5 linked regions of the Oryctolagus cuniculus genome follow. The protein of the gene in region 3 purifies or fractionates together with the protein of the main gene of each other region. This does not show direct contact. Links are inferred from orthologs where the notes say so. Each region holds a gene or a part of one and is shown on either strand. Other genes may lie near its edges.

What was found. Proteins that work in one complex are often made in the same cells at the same time.
Region 1: the proteins of TNFAIP3 (region 3) and TNFRSF1A purify together in Homo sapiens (affinity purification with western blotting; 7 studies listed by BioGRID, with this or other methods). This does not show direct contact. The link is inferred for Oryctolagus cuniculus from reciprocal best matches to the Homo sapiens genes TNFAIP3 and TNFRSF1A.
Region 2: the proteins of TNFAIP3 (region 3) and RNF11 purify together in Homo sapiens (affinity purification with western blotting; 3 studies listed by BioGRID and IntAct, with this or other methods). This does not show direct contact. The link is inferred for Oryctolagus cuniculus from reciprocal best matches to the Homo sapiens genes TNFAIP3 and RNF11.
Region 4: the proteins of TNFAIP3 (region 3) and MTOR purify together in Homo sapiens (affinity purification with western blotting, with the first as the bait; 3 studies listed by BioGRID). This does not show direct contact. The link is inferred for Oryctolagus cuniculus from reciprocal best matches to the Homo sapiens genes TNFAIP3 and MTOR.
Region 5: the proteins of TNFAIP3 (region 3) and TNIP2 purify together in Homo sapiens (affinity purification with western blotting; 5 studies listed by BioGRID and IntAct, with this or other methods). This does not show direct contact. The link is inferred for Oryctolagus cuniculus from reciprocal best matches to the Homo sapiens genes TNFAIP3 and TNIP2.

What each region holds. Positions count from the first base shown.
Region 1 is NC_091440.1:103,146,254-103,150,745, reverse strand, and holds the end of TNFRSF1A (tumor necrosis factor receptor superfamily member 1A), read right to left. Parts: intron 3,090-4,492; coding exon 3,016-3,089; intron 2,914-3,015; coding exon 2,797-2,913; intron 2,492-2,796; coding exon 2,463-2,491; intron 2,269-2,462; coding exon 1,959-2,268; intron 1,866-1,958; coding exon 1,558-1,865; 3' UTR 776-1,557; downstream 1-775. Other genes in the region: PLEKHG6 (pleckstrin homology domain-containing family G member 6), read left to right, coding at 1-323, 434-443.
Region 2 is NC_091438.1:121,666,286-121,671,402, forward strand, and holds the end of RNF11 (RING finger protein 11), read right to left. Parts: intron 4,516-5,117; coding exon 4,346-4,515; intron 2,712-4,345; coding exon 2,540-2,711; 3' UTR 776-2,539; downstream 1-775. UniProt on the Homo sapiens protein: Essential component of a ubiquitin-editing protein complex, comprising also TNFAIP3, ITCH and TAX1BP1, that ensures the transient nature of inflammatory signaling pathways. Promotes the association of TNFAIP3 to RIPK1 after TNF stimulation.
Region 3 is NC_091436.1:30,968,611-30,973,694, forward strand, and holds the start of TNFAIP3 (tumor necrosis factor alpha-induced protein 3), read right to left. Parts: upstream 3,388-5,084; 5' UTR 3,250-3,387; exon of another isoform or gene 3,104-3,249; intron 1-3,103. UniProt on the Homo sapiens protein: Ubiquitin-editing enzyme that contains both ubiquitin ligase and deubiquitinase activities.
Region 4 is NC_091438.1:157,067,783-157,072,354, reverse strand, and holds part of MTOR (serine/threonine-protein kinase mTOR), read right to left. Parts: intron 4,393-4,572; 5' UTR 4,363-4,392; coding exon 4,201-4,362; intron 3,334-4,200; coding exon 3,225-3,333; intron 2,540-3,224; coding exon 2,307-2,539; intron 1,670-2,306; coding exon 1,469-1,669; intron 816-1,468; coding exon 681-815; intron 1-680. UniProt on the Homo sapiens protein: Serine/threonine protein kinase which is a central regulator of cellular metabolism, growth and survival in response to hormones, growth factors, nutrients, energy and stress signals.
Region 5 is NC_091433.1:1,475,796-1,479,363, forward strand, and holds part of TNIP2 (TNFAIP3-interacting protein 2), read right to left. Parts: intron 2,064-3,568; coding exon 1,974-2,063; intron 1,281-1,973; coding exon 1,032-1,280; intron 758-1,031; coding exon 626-757; intron 1-625. UniProt on the Homo sapiens protein: Inhibits NF-kappa-B activation by blocking the interaction of RIPK1 with its downstream effector NEMO/IKBKG.

The sequences.
Region 1 (4,492 bases), on a different chromosome or scaffold from region 3:
GCGGAAACCCTGCACAGGGCCCGGCTTCGTGGCCAGCTCTGCCCCTCCCCTTCCCACACGGACTCGGCCGGGGAAAGCCCCTGGGAGTCCTCTGCCGACGAGGAAGAAGAGGGGCCTCCGTTCTCTGGGCCAGCCCGCAGGCCGTGCGTCCGGCCACTCAGCGCTGAGGACATGCTCCGACAGATCCGGGAGGAACTGGCCACGCAAAGGATCGAGGGAGCTACAGAGCCCGGGGACGGCAAGCCTCGGAAGCTGACCCGCGCCCAGCTGCAGAGGATGCGGGGTCCGCAAGTCATACAGTTGGACACGCCCTTGTCCACTTCGTAAGTGCTGAAGGGGAGCTGGCGGGGGGGGGGCGGGGGGGACAGACGGGGGGCGGGGCCTCTTCCACACCCCTGGACCCTCGCCTACTGGCCACCTCCTTTCTTTTCAGAGAGGTGTGAGCATCGGGGAGGAAGGCTCTCCCGGAGAGTGCTGGTCACCCCTGCCCCCACACTACCTCAAGGACCACACTTCCCGGCACCTGCCTTCTGCTGCGAGGACTCTGGCCATCTGGCCATCAGGAACTGTAGATTTATGTACCACAGACACCCCTGCGCCCCCCCTAAAGTTGTGCATAAAAACGGCTGCGTGGGTGGCATTGCTTGAGCCTGGGAAGATGGGGGTGTGTGTGGGGGGGTGCTGTCACCGCGCGACTGGTGGGCCCTCTGGCCCTGGGTTGGGACTTTCCCCACCCCACCCCTCAGGGTGCAGATGCCCACAGAGACAGACCATCCCCGTGGGAGTGGAGCTTTAATTTCTGGGTTTTAGTGAATTTACAAAAGCCTGCCGCTCCGGCTGGAGGGCTCACTGTTCTGCCCTTGGCCCCTGCCCCAGGACGCGTCCGGGCAAGGGGCAGAGGGGCGCCAGGGTTCTATTAGTGTGACACAACTGATATAAACATGCTTATCTGCTGCGAGAGAGGTCCCCGGACCTACCAGGGGCCGGAGCAGCTCTGCTGGGCCCTCCACGTCCTGTAGTCCACAACCACCCACTCGGGCCCCGGGCACGCTCAGCCTCGGGAGCACTCAAGCGGGCACAGCTGGGCGGTGCTCCGGCAGCTGAGTTTGAAACGCTGTGTGTGTGCACGGAACGGGTAGCACCAAGTAAGTGGCTGCTAGTTCACGCCTGCCCCTCCAGGATCCGCTCCAGAAGAAAAGGCCCAGAGGGCATCTCCCAGGGTAGGCTCCTCCTCCGAGGCGGGGACGGGGACCAGGAGGAGGGACACACAGCGCCTCCGACGGCCTCCAGGCAGCCAGGGGCGTGGCTCCACCGGGTGAGGCGGAGCGAAGGGGGAGGCGGGGCCACGCCTCGCCTCCTCGAAGTCCTCCTGGCAGCCGGGGGCGTGGCTCCATCAGGCAAGGCGGAGCGACAGGAGGGGGAAGCGGGCCATGCCGCGCCTCCTCGACGTCCTCCAGGCAGCCGAGGCGTGGCCTCACAGAGCGGGGCACTCAGCGTCCTTCGGAGAGGGCGTGGCCTCAGGGCGGGGCACGCAGCGCCCCCCAGAGGGGCGTGGCCTCACCGCGGAAGGCGGGCCTCCGACGGCTGGGAGGCGGGGCCGCCCAGCACCGCCTCGATGTCCTCCAGGCAGCCGAGCAGGTCCATGTCGCGGAGCACGCTGCCCAGCAGGTCCAGCGTGGCTTCGTGGCGCGGCGTGCGCTGCCGCCAGGCCGCCAGCATGCTGTACTGGGCCTCGCGCAGGCAGCGCCCGTTCTGCAGCTCCAGCCGCTCTATCTCGTGCTCGCGGAGCCCCAGGCGCCGCACAAACTCCCGCCAGCGAGATGGGGGCACGCCGTCCACCACGGCATACAGCGTCACGGGGTCGGCTGTGGGGACGCGGGGCGTTGAGCCTTCTGCGGCCGCCCTCCACCCGGCCCTGCTGCCTCCCGGAGCCGCGCCCGACCCCGCGAGGAACTCACTGTCGGGGCGCTGCTGCGGGGCCACCGCCGCGGGGGCGCTGCAGTCCTCCCACTTCTGAAGCGGGGTGAGGATGGGTGTGGAGGCCAGGGCCGTGGTGTGGACGGGCTCAGCCTCCCGGTAGGCCAGGGCCACCCCTCTGGAGGGCGGCATAGCCCTGAAGCTGGGCCAGTCCTCACGGGGAAAGGTGGAAGTGGAGTTGGTACAGATGCCCAGGTCGGGGCTGAAGCCGGGGATGGGGCTGAAGCCTGGAGGCGGGCAGACTCCTGGGGCAGGGGCGAGGGGTTTGGCAGGAAGACCTTCAAGCTCCCCCTGAAAGAGAGTGGGCACAGCGTTAGTGGGGGAGGGGAAGGCAGCCTCAGCCCTCATTCTGGTTGGGGGTTGGGGCTGGAGGGAATTAGGGGAGCCCCCGAGTGGGAGCAAGGGTGATCCCAGGTGATCGGGGTGTTACAATGATAAGGAGCAGTCAGGGAAATTTGGGGGGCAGGTCTCTGGTTTCATCTCACCTCTTTGACAGGTGTCGCTTTCCCACAAACTGAGAAAAAAGAAACAGAGTATAAATTTCACTTCCCCTCTTCTCAGGCCTGGCGCCCCGTCCTGGGGTTGGCAGTGGGGACTTGTGGTGACATGCCTCACGGCTTATGTGGCCCCAGGGACAAGAGAACTAGCGACAGAGCGTGACCTCCCCCTAGCCACTCAGGGCCCCCCTCCACCCACAGAGTCCTGGGCAGTGAGATGGGGGACCCTCCTCCTCGCACCCCCCACGCTTGCGTGTCTGAGCCACCCAGCCTCCTCCCACAGGCTCCCCAGCGCCCTGTCCCCTGCCAAGGGCCCCCTCACCAATGGAGTAGAACTTGGGCTTCCACCGCCGCTGGTAGTGGCACATTAAAACAGTGAAGAGCAGGGAGAGCAGGCACAGACCAAAGAAGATCACCAGGGGCAGCAGCACTGTGGCGCCTGCAGAGCGAAGTTCATGGTCAGGGGATGGGTGGGGGGATGGGTGGGTGGGGGAGGGGCAAGGACTGTAGAGGGCAGCTGGGCGAGGGCGCTCCTCCTCACCTGAGTCCTGAGAGCCCTGGACGTTCCCGGTCGGGGGCAGGCACAGTTTCATGCACACTGGGTTCTCCTTACAACTGAAAGAGGAGACGGCGATGGTGAACAGAGGCCCTGCCACTGGAGAACACACACACACAGATACACAGCACGGACACACGCAAAACAGATACACAAAACACACAGAGATACACAAGCAAAACACAGACACAGAGATACACAGCACGGACACACGCAAAACACAGCTACACAAAACACACAGAGATACACAAACAAAACACACACACACACACAACACGGACACACGCAAAACACAGATACACAAAACACACAGAGATACACAAACAAAACACAGACAGAGGTACACAGCACGGACACACGCAAAACACAATACACAAAACAGTCACAGAGATACACAAAACACAGACACAGATACCCCAAACACAGACACACAGAGATACGCACAGATACACACACAAAACACACACATACACAAAATACAGCGATACACAGACACACAGATACACAGCACAGACACAGGCAAAACACAGAGACACAAAACAGACAGATACACAAACAAAAACACGGACACACAGATACACAGCAGACACACACAAAACACATACTCAAAACACACAGACACAGAGATACACAAACAAAACACAGACACACAGGTATACACGCCGATACACAAAACACACACATATACAAAACACTGAGATACACAGACACACAGAGATACACACACAGGACACACCGAATCACATAAATCACACAAACTAAAAACAAAGAGACACACAGACACACATAGAGATTGTATCTTTGCCTCACAAACATCTTTGCTATCTCTTGATATAATGAGGCTTAACCTGTCCTGGGAACTGATGCCAAAGAAACCGTCACAGAAGATGATACATTTTAGAATCGGAAGGGATCGTCAGAGGGGCGGGCACCGAACAGCAAGTTAGGCCTTCACTTGGGACACCGCATCTTGTGTCAGATGCTTGGACTGAGTCCTCGTCTCCACTTCCCATCCAGCTTCCTTTTAAGTGCGCCGGGGAGGCAGTGAAGGTAGCCTACGTGTCTGGGTTCCTGCCACCCACGTGGGAACATGGGAGACCCGGATGGAATTCCTGGCTTTGGCCTGGCCCAGTCCTGGCTGTTGTGGGCATTTAGGGAGCGAACCAGTGGATGGAAGAGTGTCTCTGTCTCTCCTTCTGTCACTTTGCCTTTCAAATAAATCAATCTTAAAAATAAAAGACTCTATAGAAAAATGTTAAACATGGTCAGGGTACGAATTCCAACCCATCCCTGGCTGGCAGTCTGGACTCTCAACAAGCCGTGTACGAGTTCCAACACCATCCCTAGCTGGCAGTGTGGACTCTCAACAAGCCGCATCTCCTCCGAGCCCAGCTTCCACATCAGTACAAAGGGCAGCGAACCCGACCCTCGGGACTGAGGACCGAGACTGGCACAGTCCGTG
Region 2 (5,117 bases), on a different chromosome or scaffold from region 3:
GGTATTTACACTAGTGATTAGGACCTCAGGACCCCGGTGCCCTGGAATCAAGGTGCTTGGGTTCCATACTGGTCTCTGGCTCTTAACTCCAGCTTCCTGCTAATGCAGATCCTGGGAGGCAGCAGGGAGGGCTCAAGTAATTGGGCTCCTGCCACCCACGTGGGAGACCTGGATAGAGTTCCTGGTTCCTGGTTTTGGTCCAGCCCCAGCGGTCCTTTGTGGTCATTTAGGGAGTGGACCAGTAAAAGGGAGCTCACTCACTTTTTCTCCCTTTCTCTGAAGTAAACTTTTAAAAAATTCCTTGAAGTATACAAATGTATACACCATGTGTATGAGTGTATGTACATTTAAAAGTAATTTGAATAATTAAATTTATACATAACTTTTAAAGGGTTAGATATCTAGAATATTCTTATGTAATTAACTCTAACTTGAGCCCTTTATAGCTGTACTGTAAGTTTATTTAACAACTTAGTAAAAACCAAAACTGATGATTCTTAACATCAATGTGAAGAACAAAGTTAAATACAAAATTCTTAAAAACGAATTATCCCACTCAATACTGGTTCCTTCATTATTACCAAACTTCTGTGAAGGAAGCCTTGTAATAAAGAAAGACTAACTGTAACATGGAAGATGATTTTAAAAAAAGTTCATTTACCAACTTTAATCTAGAAAAAAAGAAAATCTGACTATAATACTTGATGACACAGACATGTTTAAGTAGAAAACATAATAAAAAATTGTCACTGAAAATATTGCACAACTTCAGGGGTTTCTTCAAAATTTGCTTTATGTAATTGGGTGGATATAAATTAATGAACAGAAATTTAAGCAAGATACATGTAACAATTTAACAGAACCTGATAATCTAATTTCATTCACTCTTTCTCAAATTCATCTTTAAGTCTTTCCATCATGGGGCTCACAAGAAATTAACTAACATATGGATACTACAGTTGAATGTTCAATCTGCAAAGTACTTATACCATACTGAAGTCCCCTATAATGTAATTATAAAGAACCTTCAAGATACTCATCTTCTGAATGTACAGAACTGTTTGAGTCAAAATTCAACTCAATATAAACTAGCAAGTTCTTCGTTGAGACAGCTTCTCCTTTTGCTAATGAACGATTTTTAGCTAGCTGTAGTATCACTGAGTTGAACAAATAAGTCACCTTTGAGTACATAAGGAAAAACAAACACATGCTAAATGAAACATTACTACTACATCATTACCAGACCATCCCTACCTCTAACACTTCAGAAGCTTAGAGATTTATTCTTACATTAACTGCAAGAAAAAGATAAAGAAGAAATTCCTTCTTTTTTGAGATTACAACCATGAAGTCGGGTGGTTATACAAATTCTGCATTTGTGTGCAAACATGAAACACATTTATCTTGGTTCTCCCTGCTTTGTCTCGTCAGCTAGCTAGCAGGACTTAACAAGTATCTTCCCAAGAACAAAGACTGAGATGTGTTTTATAGAACTTCAATAACCTCAGCACTACAGTGATGAGAGATGCAGTATCCTTTTGCTATGGTTCAAGACAACAGGGAAGGAGGTCACAGGAAAGAGAATAAATCAAAAGTGTTACAGCTGAGAAACTACTTCTCATTTAAGTTTCACCATGGTGCTACACTTATTTTTACATAAGCACTGGTGGCATAATTCAATAAATCAAAACTCTTAATATTTAAAATTTACCTTAACTTTCAATTATCACCATATTAACAACTGAAAGAATTAGATAAAACACATAGGAAATGGTAATATTAAACCCCACTTTGCTAGAATTTATTTCTTGACACCATTAACTCAGTTTTTTTAAATACATATAGAAAAGGGATAGTGCATCTCAGTTTGCTTACAAGCTAGGAGACCACTTTGAATTCTGCATTTCCTAACTGCAAACAGAATATAGCACTTATAACAGGTTATAAATAAACTGGTTTTCAAGCATAGAGCCAGCCCCAACGATAATAATACACTATTTAAAAAGACCTAAGGCAATGAATTCCATTTCCAATGGAAAAAAAGAACTGTGCAAACAAGCTTAAAACTACTTTTTTTTTTTGTGCCAGTGTTATAAAATGTAGCTTTTAATAAAACCTTGACCCAAATGCCAGCAACTTCAGAAAAGAATTTGAGTTGGGTGGGTGGGTGGGGAGAACGTTATTTCATTTAGGAAAAATAACCACTATCTTTTTCCTAATCTTCAACACACACAATTTAAACATATACAGCTGCTGTAACACTTTACACAATTCCTATGTACTGGAGCAATTACAAGATCTAAATACAATTATATTTTTAAACACTGGGTCAAGGCTTTACATAAAAATACCATCCTACTTTCCCCCCTAATTTCTAAAATATCACATACTTTCCCCCAACATCTGCAGCCATCCAGGAATTTCTAGGAAACTTTTGTGCATGATCTTAATTCCTAATTCCTGGCTCTTTGGGCTCAGTGACAAAAGATCAAAACCACCAAAATGATGGTTCACTTGAAGTCAGACGAGAGACCCTGGCTCAATTAGTCTCATAGGATGAAAGCAGTGCTGCATCAACTGGCTCCATGCAGGAGGGGCACGTGAAGGATCTCATCAGCCAGTCATCTATACAGTCCAGGTGGTAGATGTGCATGCACGGCAGGAATCGAATTGGGTCCCCATAAACAAAGTCCATCATACAGATCACACACCTGTTGGGGGCGGGGAGAGAAATCAGAAGGCATTTTTAGAGAAGTGGCCCACTCAGAATTTTCTTCAAAATCCCATTACAAAGACAGTGTTAATCCAAGCAACACATTAGAGTGGCATTTCAGTCATCACCAAAACGGAACTTTTCCTAGTGAGTGCTGATTCACACATATTGTCTTATTCCAACTCCCTGGGAATTTGCAAGACTTAAGAGCAATCAACAGAGAAAAAAAAAAAAAAAAAGTGTCACACTGGGGATCAATCCACTGCTAGCTTATAAAACAGCTCCACATTGGGAGATACCTGAAAGCATCTTTAGGTAGGCAATCATCATTTTATCAACCCTGTTCTTTGTGCTGAGTTTTTAGTGTAATCCCAGACTAATATAATTCTCATTTTAATAATGACATGTAAAAACAGAAGCACTAATTTCAGCCTACTTATTGGGGCTGCTCTACATTAAAGCTCTCTTCATTAACTCGGTTTCTTCAGGCTCAAGAAGCAACCCATTCTGCAGTGTTTCATCAGTGTTTAGACTCTTAAGTGTCAATGCTGTTAAGTATTAGTGCTAAATAGTGCTGTGAACTTCAAACAGTCAAACTACAACAAAGTAAATCACAACGTGTCTATTTTGGTGAGGCCATTTGCAACCTAAAAGAACAGCTGTTCTCATTGGAAACCTCATAGATAATATATGCCCTGGGAACAAAAATTCCACATAAGTAAAATTTCATCTTCAATTTATCAGGCTTAATAAATTTCACAAGTTTAGAAATAGACAGGACTTCTCCTATCACTAAAAACCCTTAAGAAACAAGTTTAATGGTTGCATAACTTACTGAAGAATTCCAATACTACAAATTACTGAAGTCCTAAACATGAATGCAGCTTGCATAATTTTTTTTGCCTAAATAAGACTATCTCCACTGAGTATTTTGTCCATAAAGCTTTTTTTTTTTTTTTTTTTTTTTTTTTTTTAACAGGCAGAGTGGACAGTGAGAGAGAGAGACAGACAGAAAGGTCTTCCTTTGCCGTTGGTTCACCCTCCAATGGCCGCCGCGGCCAGCGCGCTGCGGCCGGTGCACCGCGCTGATCCGATGGCAGGAGCCAGGAGCCAGGTACTTATCCTGGTCTCCCATGGGGTGCAGGGCCCAAGCACTTGGGCCATCCTCCACTGCACTCCCTGGCCACAGCAGAGAGCTGGCCTGGAAGAGGGGCAACCGGGACAGAATCCGGCGCCCCGACCGGGACTAGAACCCGGTGTGCCGGCGCCGCTAGGCGGAGGATTAGCCTAGTGAGCCGCGGCGCCGGCCTTGTCCATAAAGCTTTAGTGAGAGGAGTGAGGTACACCTCTGGAAACACAGCCCTAGGACTCTGTTTTACTGGGTACAGAACCTGTCTCAAACTATGGGAATATCTGTATACTGGGTCTCAGTTCACATTCACATGGTTGAATGACTAATTATCAACTGTAATCCAGTGGATAGGCAGCATGAGTATAAATGGTCAGAACTCATGCCATCATTTTCTAGCTATTTTGATATGAAAATCCTTTTAATTGCTACATTTAAGCATTCTCTTGCATGTCTGACTTCCAAAGTACATGAGGAAAAGTATAAATTTATTAAAAACTTACTCCCGGATCTTTTTCTCTGATCCATCTCTTCCAGGGTCATAAACTCCTTTAGGCAGATGCTGTATAAGGCCTATTCTTTGAGCTATCCTAATTTGTTCCTCTTCAGTCAGCTGAGTTGCTAGCCGAGTCTGGCTGGGTGTTGGATGATAGACTGGAACAGGAACTTGTTCCTAAATTTTTAAAAATGGAGAAAATGATTATTTTTTAAGAAAATTTCTAGAGATCATGCTTTTCCTTTTTAATGGGGGTAGGAGGCTACATATGGCAAGCAGAAGGGGTCCTGGGAGAGATAGCAAGCTGGTCTACTGTGCAGATTGTGTCTTAATATTGACTTCTAGAACAAAAAATACATAAAAAATTCACATTTAGATATGTGACCTACTTTTAAAGGATCTAAAAACAAGCAACACTTAAAAACTTGCATGGAATGTTAATTTAACTAGTTCCACATGAAGAATTTACCCAGATATGCTCATTCTGAATACACCAACAGATAAATCAATATAAACAGATCTGTCAAGCAATTAATGAACCAGACTGTACTCAATAAGCTAATTTAATATTCTATAGGTTGCGATGGAATTATGCCAGTTTACCAATTTTTTTCAAATTTATTTATTTGAAAGGCAGAGTTGGAGAGAGAGAGAGAGAGAGAGAGAGAAGATACATATAGTGAGAGATCATTCATCCACTGGATCACTCCCCAAATGGCCCCAACAGCCAGGGCTGGGCATGGCCGAAGCCAGGGGCCCAAACACTTAGGCCATCTTCC
Region 3 (5,084 bases):
TAACCCATGTTTTCAGTAATGTCTGCCAGGCAGCCAAGTGTGCATCAGCACCAGGGCCTGCTCCACAAACCCATGTCAGCTCCCGTGCCGCGGGGACGCCACTGGGAACAGCTGCTCCATCTCAGGAGCAGAGAAAGATGAGACCGAGGCTACCTCCCCAAGCCCACCACCGGGTAATCTCTGCTCATGGGCAAGTCTCGACTTCTCTCTGAAGCACTCCCTCCTTACGCCGGGAGAATGGTAAACGTCTTATGAGAAACCGGCAGCTTCATGCTGTCACCTAGCCTGCTGACTGGGGTTTCCTCTCCAGTGCCCAGAAGAAGCACAGAGGGCTTATTTGTGAAGTTTATGATGATATTTATAACCGGTTAAAACCAAACATTTTTATAACCAACCAAGAAGCTTATGTCCAACAAGAAGCTTTGCTATTTTCAAGAACATCCCTTCAGAACCTGGCCATTGAGCTTAACTACATCCAAGTAAGACACGAAGAATGACAACGGACTAGGAAATTCTACACATCCGACAACAGACATAGGAGCTCCATCGTTTCAATGCCACTGCCAAGCAGAGTGTATGACCACCACGTAGGTACCCACACTCATATGCATGCATTTCCAGCCCGCCTCGCACCCTAAAATCTTCACGCGTCATCACTTGGTGGAAGAAATGAAAATCTGGATGCATGCAAGGAAGAAACTTTCAACAAGGTGGCCACTCGGGACAAAGAGGAGTAAGGGCAAAGGCTGGCATCAATAACCCATGCCAACAGCACGGAAGGATGTGAGTGACCATGGGACCTCTCCAGGGTGGAGCTGTGCAGAGAGCCAGCTCTCAATCACTAGTCCCGGGGAAGGGTGAATTTCCAAGAAGATGCAGACAATTTCAGAGCATAAAAAAAAAATCCCTGGGAAGTTTCCTAACAGTTGTCAATCCCACTCCTGCATCATACGGTTTGTCAGGGCAACTTTCCCCTTGAGGAAGATGCTAAACCTTTGTGTAAGGGAGAAGAAACCCAGATTTTGGGGAAGCCACCGACAGCCTGAATTCTTGTGGCCCACTAGAAGGAGGGTGGGTGGGAAGCAGACGGTGCCCGACTGCTGTCAAGGAGCTTTCTGGTGGTCATTCTGGACTGGGATTCTTCTCCTGACTGCTGGGTGGGGTCTGGGAGAAGTCCCTCTCTGGGTGGCATGGTGCTCTCTTCTGTGATAGCCAACATTCCCAGCAGATGGATTGGGCAAAATCACCACGGGACTGCAGACACAAGGAAGGGACAGAAATACGACACACATGTCTCCTTCGAGGCATAGCATGGTCTCTTTCACAATGCCGCTCTTCCATCCATCCATGCATCCACCCATGAACCCAGCCAACAAGGCTGTCTGGTCACCCACTGAAGGCCAACGCCACGGTGAGGCTGGAGCTAAAAGCCAAGAAGGGGAGTAGGCTCTACTCCCCTCTCTGAATTCATACAACCACCTCGGTCTGCAGCCAAGGCAACAGTGTCACAGGCCCTGCACAGGCCCCACAGCCATGCCGGAAGAGTCCTGCCTTGGAAGCCGGGTCTCCCGACACCTGCACCCTCCATGCCCACAGCAGCACACCTGTGGCCACAGGGCCTGGCACTCCTGGATGAACACAGACAGGCAGTAGGGAGAGTTCTAACAAATGAGGGGCTGCCTTGTTTTGCCTTTCTCACTCTCCTGTTGTCTGGATCTTGGGATCATTCAGCACGGATCTAAACCAGTGAGAGCTGTAAACCATATGCAAGACACGTAAAGACAGTATTTCATAACCAGCGTGGCCTCCTTCACGGATTCAGGTGTGCACAGCCTCCAAGTCTGACTCCTTTAAAGAGAAACCTACTGCCCAAGTTTCCAGTTCTGGGGCTTCTCCACATTTAAGATTAAAATATACATTCATCTGATACATTTATAATGCTCTTCCATGCCAAAAAAAATGTAGTAATACCTTTCCCATGTAATTCCTACATCTGTTACCCCAGAGTCTTACTTAAAGATCATCCCTCCCCTCCCGTTATTTTTGGTCACTAGGATCAATGAGATTCTTCTTGAACTCACTGCACTCATTCCTCACTCGAAGTCTTTGGACAAACATTTTTGTCTGCGATACGGATACTTATGAATGATTTACCAACAAATACTTCCACCGTTGAGAGGCACTGCTCCAACAAGTCAAAAATTGTACAAAGAATCTCCAAGACGTCAAAGCAACACGGCTGTCTGTCTGGCTGGCCGCTGAGCAAGCCGGTGTTGCAGGTTTAGGGTCCGGAAGGCTCTCATTAACATGCTTCCCCCCAAAAGCCGCCCGGTGACACCTGAGCAGACCAGCTTTCCAAGGAAGGCTCAGCAGAGGGAACTCCAAACAAAGCCAGCTCCGAAAGAGCTGAGCTCCTTCTTTACTTAATACCACTGCTTTCCTGAGAAGCCAGGTGGCAGGATGTGAGACGACCCAGGCTGTACAGAGAGAGACCGAGTGTGGTGCGGCGGGGACCTGCACGGCGCTCCCGGAGTGCATCCCGCTCCCCACTCCCGAAAGCAAGCCGGCCAGCCACTTCTCCATGCACACTTCTCTTCCATCGCTGCAGCCGAAAAGCGGGACCCCGTGCCGCGAGCCCACCCCGATGCAAAGCCCACTGAGCGCCCGGACGCTGTCCCCGGGGCGGGGGGAGAGCGCTGGCCCCTTGGACAATCCCACCGCCACTGGCTGGTTTTGCAAAATCTAGGAAGCCGCACAGCTTCTGCAAAAGCCTACGTGGCCGAGAACATGCAGTGCCTGATTCCACCCCCTCCACCTCTCCCCTAAAAAAGAGGCAAAGAAACGGGCGAAGCATCAACGACCACCCGAGCAAGGGGCGCCAGGCACCTGCAGCTCAGGTTCTCTGCACTACTGGAAAGCAAGAGCCGGCTGTCACCCCAACATCTGGCGCGGCGACCGCAGCGCCCAACACTCCAAAACTCAGCACGGGTACACAAGAGCCACAGACTCCTCTCCGGGGGACGCTGCAAGAGCCAAGGCCAGGGAGGCGGGCCGACTCGCACCCGCAGCCCCAGAGAGCCCGTGCACAGCGCGCGGGGGTTACCTCTCCGGGCGGCGCGATCCTCTCCCAGAGTCAGTCCCAAGTTCCCCAAAGCGCCGGTCACCGCAGGCGCGCGCCGCAGGTGGCGGTCGGGGCGGGGGTCGGCACGAGGCGGCGTCCCATGGACGCCGGGGCTAGGGCTCGCTCACCGGCCGGGGTGGGGGTGTGTGTGATGTCTTCTGGCGGCCGCGCTCGCCGCTCCGCCCCCGCGCACTCCAAAGTCCTGGCGCTCGGCTGCGAGGGCTGCAGACTGCGCAGTTTCCTTTCTACCCTTTCAGTTGTACCGCGACAGCCGGGGGGATTTCCGCGGGGACTTTCCAGTCACGTGACGCCGCCCGCCTGGCCGAGCCGGCGCCGGCCGCCAGGGGGCAGGGGACGCGGCGCTCGCTGGAGGCCCGCGGCGCGCGCCGCTCCCGCCCCGCCCCGCCCGGACGCTCCGCCCGGACGCTCCGCCCCCGGCGGCCTGGCCCCGCCCCGCCCCGGCGTGGCTCAGAAACTCCTGCGCCCCGCCCCGCGGGGTGTCCCCGCGTGAGTCACCTGGGCATTTCGGAAGCGGGGATGCGACGTCACATCCATGTGGAAATCGCGGTGATGGGAACTGGAAATGAAATCGGTTCTTTTTTTTTTTTCGCAGCCGTTTTTCTGCAGAAAATCATCCACTGTGGAGAAGACGAAGGGAAATAAGAAAGCAAGAAAACCCGAAAAACCACCCGGGCCCCGGGCTGGGTTTGCACAGTTCGGGCTGCGCACGTGATGAGCTGCGAGGGGAGAGTCCTGGCCAGAGCCCGGGCGGGAATTTCAAGAAAAAGAAGCAGGCCCTGCCCTTGACCCCCGAGCCCTCTGGATCGTCCTGGCGGCGCGTTGGAGGCGGGGGTGGGGGGAGCAAGGCCGGTCTTGGGTAAACTGAGTCAGACAAGCCCCTGACCCCGCCCTCGCTAGGCCCCGGCATTCAAAGAGCACTTCCGTTCAGAAATCACCTGCGCCCACGGGCGTTCTCGCCCTGGCTTTATTCGGTGCGCTCCTAGACGTCCTGACAATTACTTACCCCAAGGTCTACGGCCAAGCGTCCTTGCTATTCCTCCCGGCCGCCTCCCGCTATTCCCATGTAACCGCGGCCCTGCAGGTTTCCCTGGCACCCTGCGTCACCTGGAAGTTAGGTGCGCCTCCTGGGCCATTGGAGGTGCCTGGGCCGTGGCAGGTGGGTGAGGGCTGGGGAGTTGGGGTGCCCCCAGTGCCCCTTGGTTCAGTTCCTGCAATGGCTAAACTAGACCCAGAGAGAAAGAGAGCGAGAGTGCATTTCCTTCTGCTGGTCCATTCCTTAAATGCTTTCAATAGCCAGGACTGCGCCAGGCTGAAGCCTGAACCCCTGAACTCAATCCATGCTTCCCGTGTGGGTGGCAGGGTTCCACGCACTTGAGCTACACCTGCTGCCTGTCACAGTGTGCATGAGCAGGAAGCTGGATGGAAAGCAGAGGAGTCAGAACTGGAGCCAGACCCTCGGATGCAGGGTGTGGGCATCCTAGTGTGGCTTAGCCACTGGGTCGCACATCGCCCCTAGTTCTAGTCTTTTCAAACTGATGGCTAGAATTTCTCCCAACTCCACATCTCCTGGGATCATTTAGTCCTCATTCACAAATGTCTTCAGCTACCAACACTCAGCTAAGAGTCGCCAAATGACATGTGTAAAATGACATTTACTGAATATGCACCTGCTACTTTTATATGAAACTGAAGATACTGAGGCCATTTGGACTCTGCGCAAGGGGTTAAGTGGCAGAGTCGCCGCTGGAACTAGGTCCTTCTTAGCCAAGGGCAGACTGGTAAATCCTGACTCGAGACCACTCTCTAGAGTCTCAGGGGCCCTGTCGGTATTCTGGCCCCCAGCTTCACAAACACACCACGCAGGCAAACATGGGCCCTGGGCAGAAAGGGGGCTTGAGGGCAGGAGGGCCTTGAATGCATCCTCAGGAAACCTCCTGGACTT
Region 4 (4,572 bases), on a different chromosome or scaffold from region 3:
ATAAAACCTCTGTCCTTTCTACCCTCACCCTGGTACTTTATACCCATCTCCTCAAGCTAATTCACCTCCTATCTGGTCTCCCTGCGTTGACTCCTGCCTCTCCACACCTTAGAAAAGGCATGGCGTCACACCGCACATCGCCACCCTGTGTGCACACGGCCAATGTCTGCCCCTGTAACTAGAAGAGGAGCCAGTGCTGACCACGAACCACGAGCCCCTTCCTCCCTGACCACACCTCCCACCTTCTCTCCTTCTTGTGGTAAGGGACCAGCCACACGCCCCTTCTTTCTGCTTCATCAATTTTTCAAACTTGACCAACTTTTCCTCCCACCTCAAAGCCTTTGCCTGGAACGCAGCCCCTGGCCTGCTACAAGGGGCTCCTGCATGTCCTGCGGCCTCTGGACTCCAATGGCTCTGCTTCAGAGAGGGCCTTCCCTGACACTGCATTTCCCACAGGAAAGATCACAGCTGGAGCCCGACCTCCCAGATCGGGCCTGAGCCCAGCCACTGCACTCAACCCCACCCCTCACCTCCATCCTCTTTCCTGTTGTGTTTCCTTCCCAGGACTCGTTGCTGTCTGAAGTTGTCCTGTCTACCTGCTTGTCACCTGTTTCCTCCTAAAAGTGCCCGCTCCGTGCGGACGAGGGTCTTGCTCTGCCCGCCCGGCCGCCGCATCTCACCTCGCCCTCCATGCTGCTGATCCGAACCAGCTCGTTGAGGATCAGCAAGGCTCCGTGGATCCGGTCATCCCGATTCATCCCCTTCTCCTTGGCCAGGGTCTCATCAAACCCCTTCTCTGCCTCTTCGAACGTGTGCTGCAGAAACGGACAGAATCCTGTGCTCACCCAGCGTCCAGAGCTGGAGAGAAGCCAGGCCCAACCAGCCCTCGCTGGGGTTCCGGGGTGTTCCCACACGTGCTCGGCGCCGTGGACCAGCGTAACACTGACTGGTCGTGCGCTTGTTTAATTTAGCTTCAGCTCTTCTGCCCTCACATGCCACTGAGATACGTATCATTATCACCTGCCAAAACAAAAACCCCGCCCCCAGGCTCAAAGACCCTGAGTGAGCCGCGCAGTGTCACACGTACAGGCAAGCCTGGAAGGCCAGCCTCCCGTCCTACGCGCAGGGCGCCTGCGGTACTAGCAGGCTCACAGCCCCTCGGCAGCAGCAGACGGCACAGAGCTCAGGACACCAGAGCAGAAGGCACCGCCCTTTCTAAACTCCTACCAGCCATCTCCCGGCGAGTCTGCAAGGAAGCATGTTTTTACACCTCAGAACAGATGTCTTGGAGTGCGGAAGGCACTGAGTCATGGCCTGACCGGCATGTTCTCATTCTTAGCGACACACGAGATGATGCTGCATCTATCACTGGGCCTCTGCTTTCACGAAATGCAGCAGAGGAACCACCGACTCCTGCTGAGGGTCGTGAAGCTGCCTGACGGCGTGAACGTGCACTGCAGGCTCTCACCCGGTACCACTGCGGCTTCTGCATCTCCTTCGGCTCTCGCTGAGTGGTGAGGATGAGACAGGCACGGAGGGCGGCCACGGCTCCCTCACGGATGGCCTGTTTGGGGTCCCACACGGCCACAAAAATGTTGTCGAAGAAGGGCTGCACTTGCTGGAAGAAGAAGGTGGGGACGCTGATGGCCAGCTCACGGAGAACCAGGACCTAGGAGAAAGGGGGGGAGGGGGGCAGCTGAGAACTGCCATTCGCACCAGAGTTCTGCTCCCTCGGGACCACACTTGCTTGGACAAGGGAAGGCAGGCCCTCTCTTCCAGACAGGGAATTCTGGGGGCAGAACAGGAGAGCAAATGGACCAGACTCCTCCATGTTCGTTATCGTAGGCTGTGACAAAGACAGAGCCTCGGGAAGGCACACACTAGGCTCTCGTACCACTGCCCCGACAGCCCGGCCCAGTCACTGCGTAAGCACACTTGTTTCAGGTTTTATCTTAGGATTTTCATTTGACAAGAAGACACTGAGGGTCAGAGGTTGTGCCAGATTACGGAGTTAGGAGGTGACAAAGCCAAGACTTGAGCCAGGTCCCCACGTGTGTCCCTCTCCCGGTCCCAGGCTCCCTCCTGTAGCACGGTCCCTCAAGAGGGAGGACTAGAAGGCATCTGAGTGAGGCCTCTGATCCCCACTGCCCACTCCCAGGTCCTCTCCCCTGTGCAGTCACTACCCCATCTAACAGCGTCCAATCCTGGCCCACCAGAACAGCCTCTTCTGGGGATGAACCCTGGAAGGAAGCCGGGGACCCTAAAATAACGCCACGGTTCCCACGCCCAGTTCCGCGGGCACTCACAGCGGCGTGTCTCCGGCCCTCGTTGCGGTCAGCACCCAGCCATTCCAGGGCTCGCTTCACCTCGAACTCCACGTACTCGGCAGTGAAAGTGTCCCCTGCCATGGCAAGGCGGCCAATGGCCTTGGATGCCATCTCCATGACAACCGGGTCATTGGAGGGGAGGAGATTCCGAAGATAGTTGGCAAACCTGCCGATCCGGGTGGCATTCCCACCTTCCACGCCGATGAGGCTGGCTGGAAGAGAAGGTGGCAGAAGGTGACAAGGCACAGCGCGCTGGCCAGGCCGCAACTAAAGGCTGGCGAGCAACACCGCGCTCTGCCCTGAGCGCATGGCTACGTCGTAAGGGTGCGGGCAGTTTTCATTTTCCCTAAGATTTGATATCCGTGTCATAATGACTTACACCAAGTAAAACAGCACTATTGTAGTATATATACTTTGTCTCCCCAAGAAATTAGGGGAAAAACCCACACCCCCGGGACTGCATAATTCACAGGACTAGACCAGTCCTTGGGAGCTGAAGGACGACCTGTCTTTCATGAACTGCACCGAAATTTCACTTCTCCATTCATAAGCCCTGCTAGGCCAAACCCTGCCCTACAGAGAAACCAGCACCTGCACAGGCAACACGGGGTAGTAGAAAGCTGGCTTCCGGTCCCAGCTCTGACACACTGGCCCCACAAGAGTTGCTTAATGGTTCTGGGACTCAGCTTCCACTTCTAAAAACACCTGCTCGGTCTACATCCTAGGACTGCTCATAGAATCAGGACCCCTGTAAGGGCACTGAAAGCCGCACGGCTCCTGAAAATTCACAAACATGAATGGAACTTCTAGTGGCAGACATGGGCCCGGTGGACACAAAGGTGACCAGCCCTGTATTCCTACCTGTTTGCTGTTCCTAGCACCAGACTCAGTCCTTACCTATGGCCAAGATGCCCCCTTTCCTCTCACTGGCATCGGAGCTGGAAACCAGTTCAAATATGTGATGGTTCAGCTGATCGTAGAACCGCGTTGACTCTTCCTGACTCATCTGAAAGGAAGATGCGCCCAGAAGGATTTCTAAGGTGTCTTGCCCCGAGGGTAGAGGGGGAGTTGGGAGGGACGGGTGGTGCCGGAGAGGATTGGGGCGAGAGAGGCAGCAGGTGTGGCTCAAACCAGGAAGACAAGCTTCTGCCCATTTGCAGTTCTCAACCACAGAGCTACTGACCTTGCAATGCACCTCTATCTGTAACTGCTTCCTGAGTGCCTGCTGGGTCAGGATACAGGATGAACCAGATGCTGTCTCTGACCGTAAGTCTGGTCTCCATCAATTCTCCAACCCATCCCAACCCACTTTTATCAGGCAGAAATAGCTGATAGGCTGAACTTATGTGGATCCCTGATCGTGCCCACAGACACAAGAAATGCCAAGGAAGCGTGCAACCCCGGGAGAGGACCCTGTTCTAGGGTTGGGAGGAGCTGGGGGCTTTTCTAAAACAGAATCCACATTTCAAGCTTCACTTAGCTGTCCAAGGGAGTCTAAGCCAGGGATGCTGGGGTGGGCATTCACAGGGACACCCACAGCCCACATCCAAGTGACTGGTTCCAGTCCCAGCACCTCTGCTTTGGAGCCAGCTTCCTGCTAACGTGCACCGTGGGAGGCAGCAGGTGGTGGTTCATGGACGTGGGTCCCCTGCCACCCACGTGGGAGACCTGGACAGAGTTCTGGGCTCCTGGCTTTGGGCTGGCCCAGCCCTGGCTGTCGCAGGCTTATGGGGAGCAAGTCAGAGGACAGATTTATCTCTTCACCTTTCAACATCAAATGAAAACCGGCTAAGTAAAAGGTGAAATACACCAGTGATGGCACGTCCGGCCCAAACACCCCACGATGACGGGTGCCAGATCCCTGAAGGCTGACCTCGCGGAGCTCCATGGTGACGTAGTGCTGGAGCTCCTTGGCAGCCTTGGCCCTGGTCTCCTCATTCCGGCTCTTCAGGCCACTGGCAAACTGCTGCAGGACGCTCACGTTGCTTGAGGTGGCGGCGGCGGCGGCGGCAGCGGCGGGCCCGGTCCCCAGCATCTTGCCCTGAGGTTCTTTGGAGAAGAGCTCCTTTTATGTTCCAGAGAGCAAACCATGGCAGTAATTTAGGGCCCCAGTTATTCAACGGGGATCTCCACCCAGCCCCTATCAGCTAGTGGACCCTAAAAAGGTGGGGAGACCACACTGAGGAACATTCGCAAAGCCTTGATTCGGGGCCACCGCTGTGGCGTCGTGGGTAAAGCTGCATGC
Region 5 (3,568 bases), on a different chromosome or scaffold from region 3:
CTGCTCGGGACAGACCAGAGCTGGAGGCCCCACACACCCAGCTGGGAGGGCTCCGCGTCCGCGCTCCGGCCCCGGGTGCGCCGCCTCCCAGAGGCGGTCCAGTCCACGTGAGCACAGGAAGTTTACTCCAGGCCGGGGCTGTACCAGAAACTCGCTAAGTGGCCAAAGGAACGAACCTCCCCTGGGGTTTCTGCAGTGTGGACGGGCAGGTCGGCACCACAGGTCACACCGCCAGAGACCTCGCCAGTCCTGACTTACGCCGGCCCCTCTCCAGGCACCTCTCACGGTGGGGACTGCACTAAACCAACGCCGGGCACAGGCTGAGCTGAGGACCCTACAGGGCTCTTGTCAAGGCCCGTGCCAGCCCCATGTGACGAGGTAACTGGGTCCCTGTCTCGCAGCAAGGACGGGGCACGGCTGGCACTGCCAGGAGGGATCCTGCTCTCTGGTCACACGGCAGGGACACACAGGGAGGCGGCGCAGGCCCAGAACAGCCACTCTGCCAACCTCTTCACAGCTAAACGTGGCACAGCGCAGGAAGGCGGGAAGGGGCCGCCAGGTCGGGGCCTTGAAGGTACGGAAGGGCTCAGTCCATGACGCGGAAAAGAACGCCGCCCATCCCTACCTGTCTCCGAGACCCCTGGCGAGACCCCTGGCACAGCAGGGAAGCCAGCCGCTCCTCCAGCTCCTGGATCCTGCTCTGAGCCCGCTCCCGGTCGGCCCTTTCTGACCTGAAGTCATCCTTGTAGGCGAGAATCTGGGGAGACACGGGACCTTCGTTCTGCTCCAGTGAGAAGGAAGACCCTCCCCGGGCTCCCCCCGCCCCCACGACACCGCCCAGCCGGTGCTGAGAGCTGGCCTCCCCGGGCTCCCCCCACTGCCCCCACAACCACCGCCCAGCCGGTGCTGAGAGCTGGCTTCCCCGGGCTCCCCCCCCCCCCGCCCCCACGACACCACCCAGCCGGTGCTGAGAGCTGGCCGCCACCTGCAGGCAGACGACGGCGGGTGCCGCCCAGAGCCCAGGGACAGACCTGCTGCTCCAGTATCTGCACCCGCTCCAGGGCAGCGTCCTGGGCGGTCCTGGCGGCGGCCAGCTGCTGCCTCGCGTCCGCACACGCGTCTACTTCCTCTTCCAGCTGCCTGTTGAGCCGGGAAACCTCCTTCCTCAGCAGCTCCGGCTCCCGGGGGGCCTTCAGCTCCCGCAGCTGCGCCTGGAGCTCCCGCACATACTCGTCCCTGCTGGCGTCGTAGCGCTGCCACTTGGCGTTGAGGTCTTCCACCTGGGGAGGCGCGGCCGGGAAGCTCACGGCAAAGGCGGCGGAGCCCGAAGGCCGAACCTGGCGCCGCGCGCCGGCAGTACCTCGCCGACCTCTCCCCACGCGTGGAGTGGACGCTGAGCCCACCGCAGCAGCACCCGCAGCCTCGCTCTCGGACAGAAGTGGACTCCCTGCCGCCTTCCTGCCTTAGAGTCTCTGCCTCTCCTCGACTTCCTTTCCATCAGACGGGCACCGTGGGCGGCAGGACAGCCCGCCCAACTGCCACACAGCACCCCACGCGCACCGGTCCGCGTCCCGGCTGCTCCACTTCCAGCAGCCCCCTGCTCACAGGCCTGGGAAAGCAGAGCGACGTGGCGGCTTGCCCGGGCCCCAGCACCCAGGGGCGAGACCCAGAGGGCGTCCCAGGCCCCTGGCTTCAGCCTCAGTTGCTGTGGGCATCTGAGGCGTGAACCAGTGAGTGGAGGCGCTCGCTCTCGCTCTCGCTCTCGCTCTCTCTCTCTCTCTCTGTCTCTCCCTCTAATTCTGCCTTTCAGGACACGTCCTGCTCATCCCCCGGGCAGGAAGCTGGGCTGCTGGGGCCGTGTGCACCAAGCCACAGTGGCCAGCCGGTGGGGGAACGACTGGGCACGGGCTGGGGAAGAACCCTCGTCGCACTCGGTCAGGGTGCGTGTTCTTCCAGGAGACGCAGACACTCACATGAGTCACTTTCTGTTTTAACAGTCGGTTCTCCTCCCGTAACTTCTCCATGGCGGCCTGAACGGAGCTGTCCGTGCCTGGACACGTGGGCTGCACAAAGCACAGAGGAGACCGTGTCACGGCACGTGGCCCACGCAGCAAGGGGCGGAGCCAGACCCGGGGTTGAGGCCATGATCACCACCGCGTCCCCCAGAGCTATGGGCCCGGCCGCCTCCTGGAGCCCACCACGCTGTCCTGTTCCCACTCAGGTCCGCTGCGGTCATCTAACTCGTGCTGGGAGACCGAGTCTCAGGAAACACCCGTCTGGACCCCCGGAAGCTCCGCGCACCGCGCGTGCCGGGGACTGGCCGTCAGGGACGCTGTCGCCGAGAATTCCCCTCCGGTGACGAAGGAAGTGCAAGTCCTGAGCCGGCCTGCGCCGGGAAGCCCCGGGTGACTCAGCCACGGCAGGCCGAGAAGTGAGGGGCACGGGGCTGCCCGCCGGAGGCCCCACCCGCACGGGCGGCCGCTCAGGGAGCCACACGGTGACTTCAGCTGAGAGCACCACGCCTCTCCCTGCACTCTCCTCTGGGCTTGAGACACAGCCCCGCTCGCTCTCCACGGGAGACGGGGTGGGGTCCTTGGCCAAGTCTCTCCCTGAAGGGCTCGTCAGTGAAGCTGCCCGCCTGCCCCGGCCCTTGTACACGCTCACCCGACTGCCCGCGAAGGGCCTGACCAGGAGCCTTGTGCTGGGCACAGGGGTGACACGCAGCCTCAGCCCGGCCCACCAACAGCCTGCCCCACACGTGTCCCCACAACCCGCCAGCAGGAAGACGCCGTGGCCAGGCCCTAGCCACAGGGTCTCGGCTCTCCCTGCTCAGCAGGCCCCCGACTGCTGGGTGAGCAGAGTACCCTCTCAGCACCTGGGAGCAGGGTCAGCCTCAGGCTGGGGGGGCAGCCGGCTCCCCTACTGCATGCTGGGAGCAGGGTCAGCCTCAGGCTGGGGGGGCAGCTGGCTCCCCTAGTGCATGCTGGGAGCAGGGTCAGCCTCAGGCTGGGGGGGCACCCGGCTCCCCTAGTGCATGCTGGGAGCAGGGTCAGCCTCAGGATGGAGGGGCAGCCAGCTCCCCTATTGCATGCTGGGAGCAGGGTCAGCCTCAGGCTGGGGGGGCAGCCGGCTCCCCTAGTGCATGCTGGGAGCAGGGTCAGCCTCAGGCTGGGGGCTACCCTGCTTCCTACTGCATGCTGGGAGCAGGGTCAGCCTCAGGCTGGGGGCCACCCGGCTCCCCTAGTGCATGCTGGGAGCAGGGTCAGCCTCAGGCTGGGGGCCACCCGGCTCCCCTAGTGCATGCTGGGAGCAGGGTCAGCCTCAGGCTGGGGGCCACCCGGCTCCCCTAGTGCATGCTGGGAGCAGGGTCAGCCTCAGGCTGGGGGCCACCCGGCTCCCCTAGTGCATGCTGGGAGCAGGGTCAGCCTCAGGCTGGGGGCCACCCGGCTCCCCTATTGCATGCTGAGAGCGGGGTCAGCCTCAGGCTGGGGGCCACCCGACTCCCCTAGTGCATGCTGGGAGCAGGGTCAGCCTCAGGCTGGGGGCTACCCTGCTTCCTACTGCATGC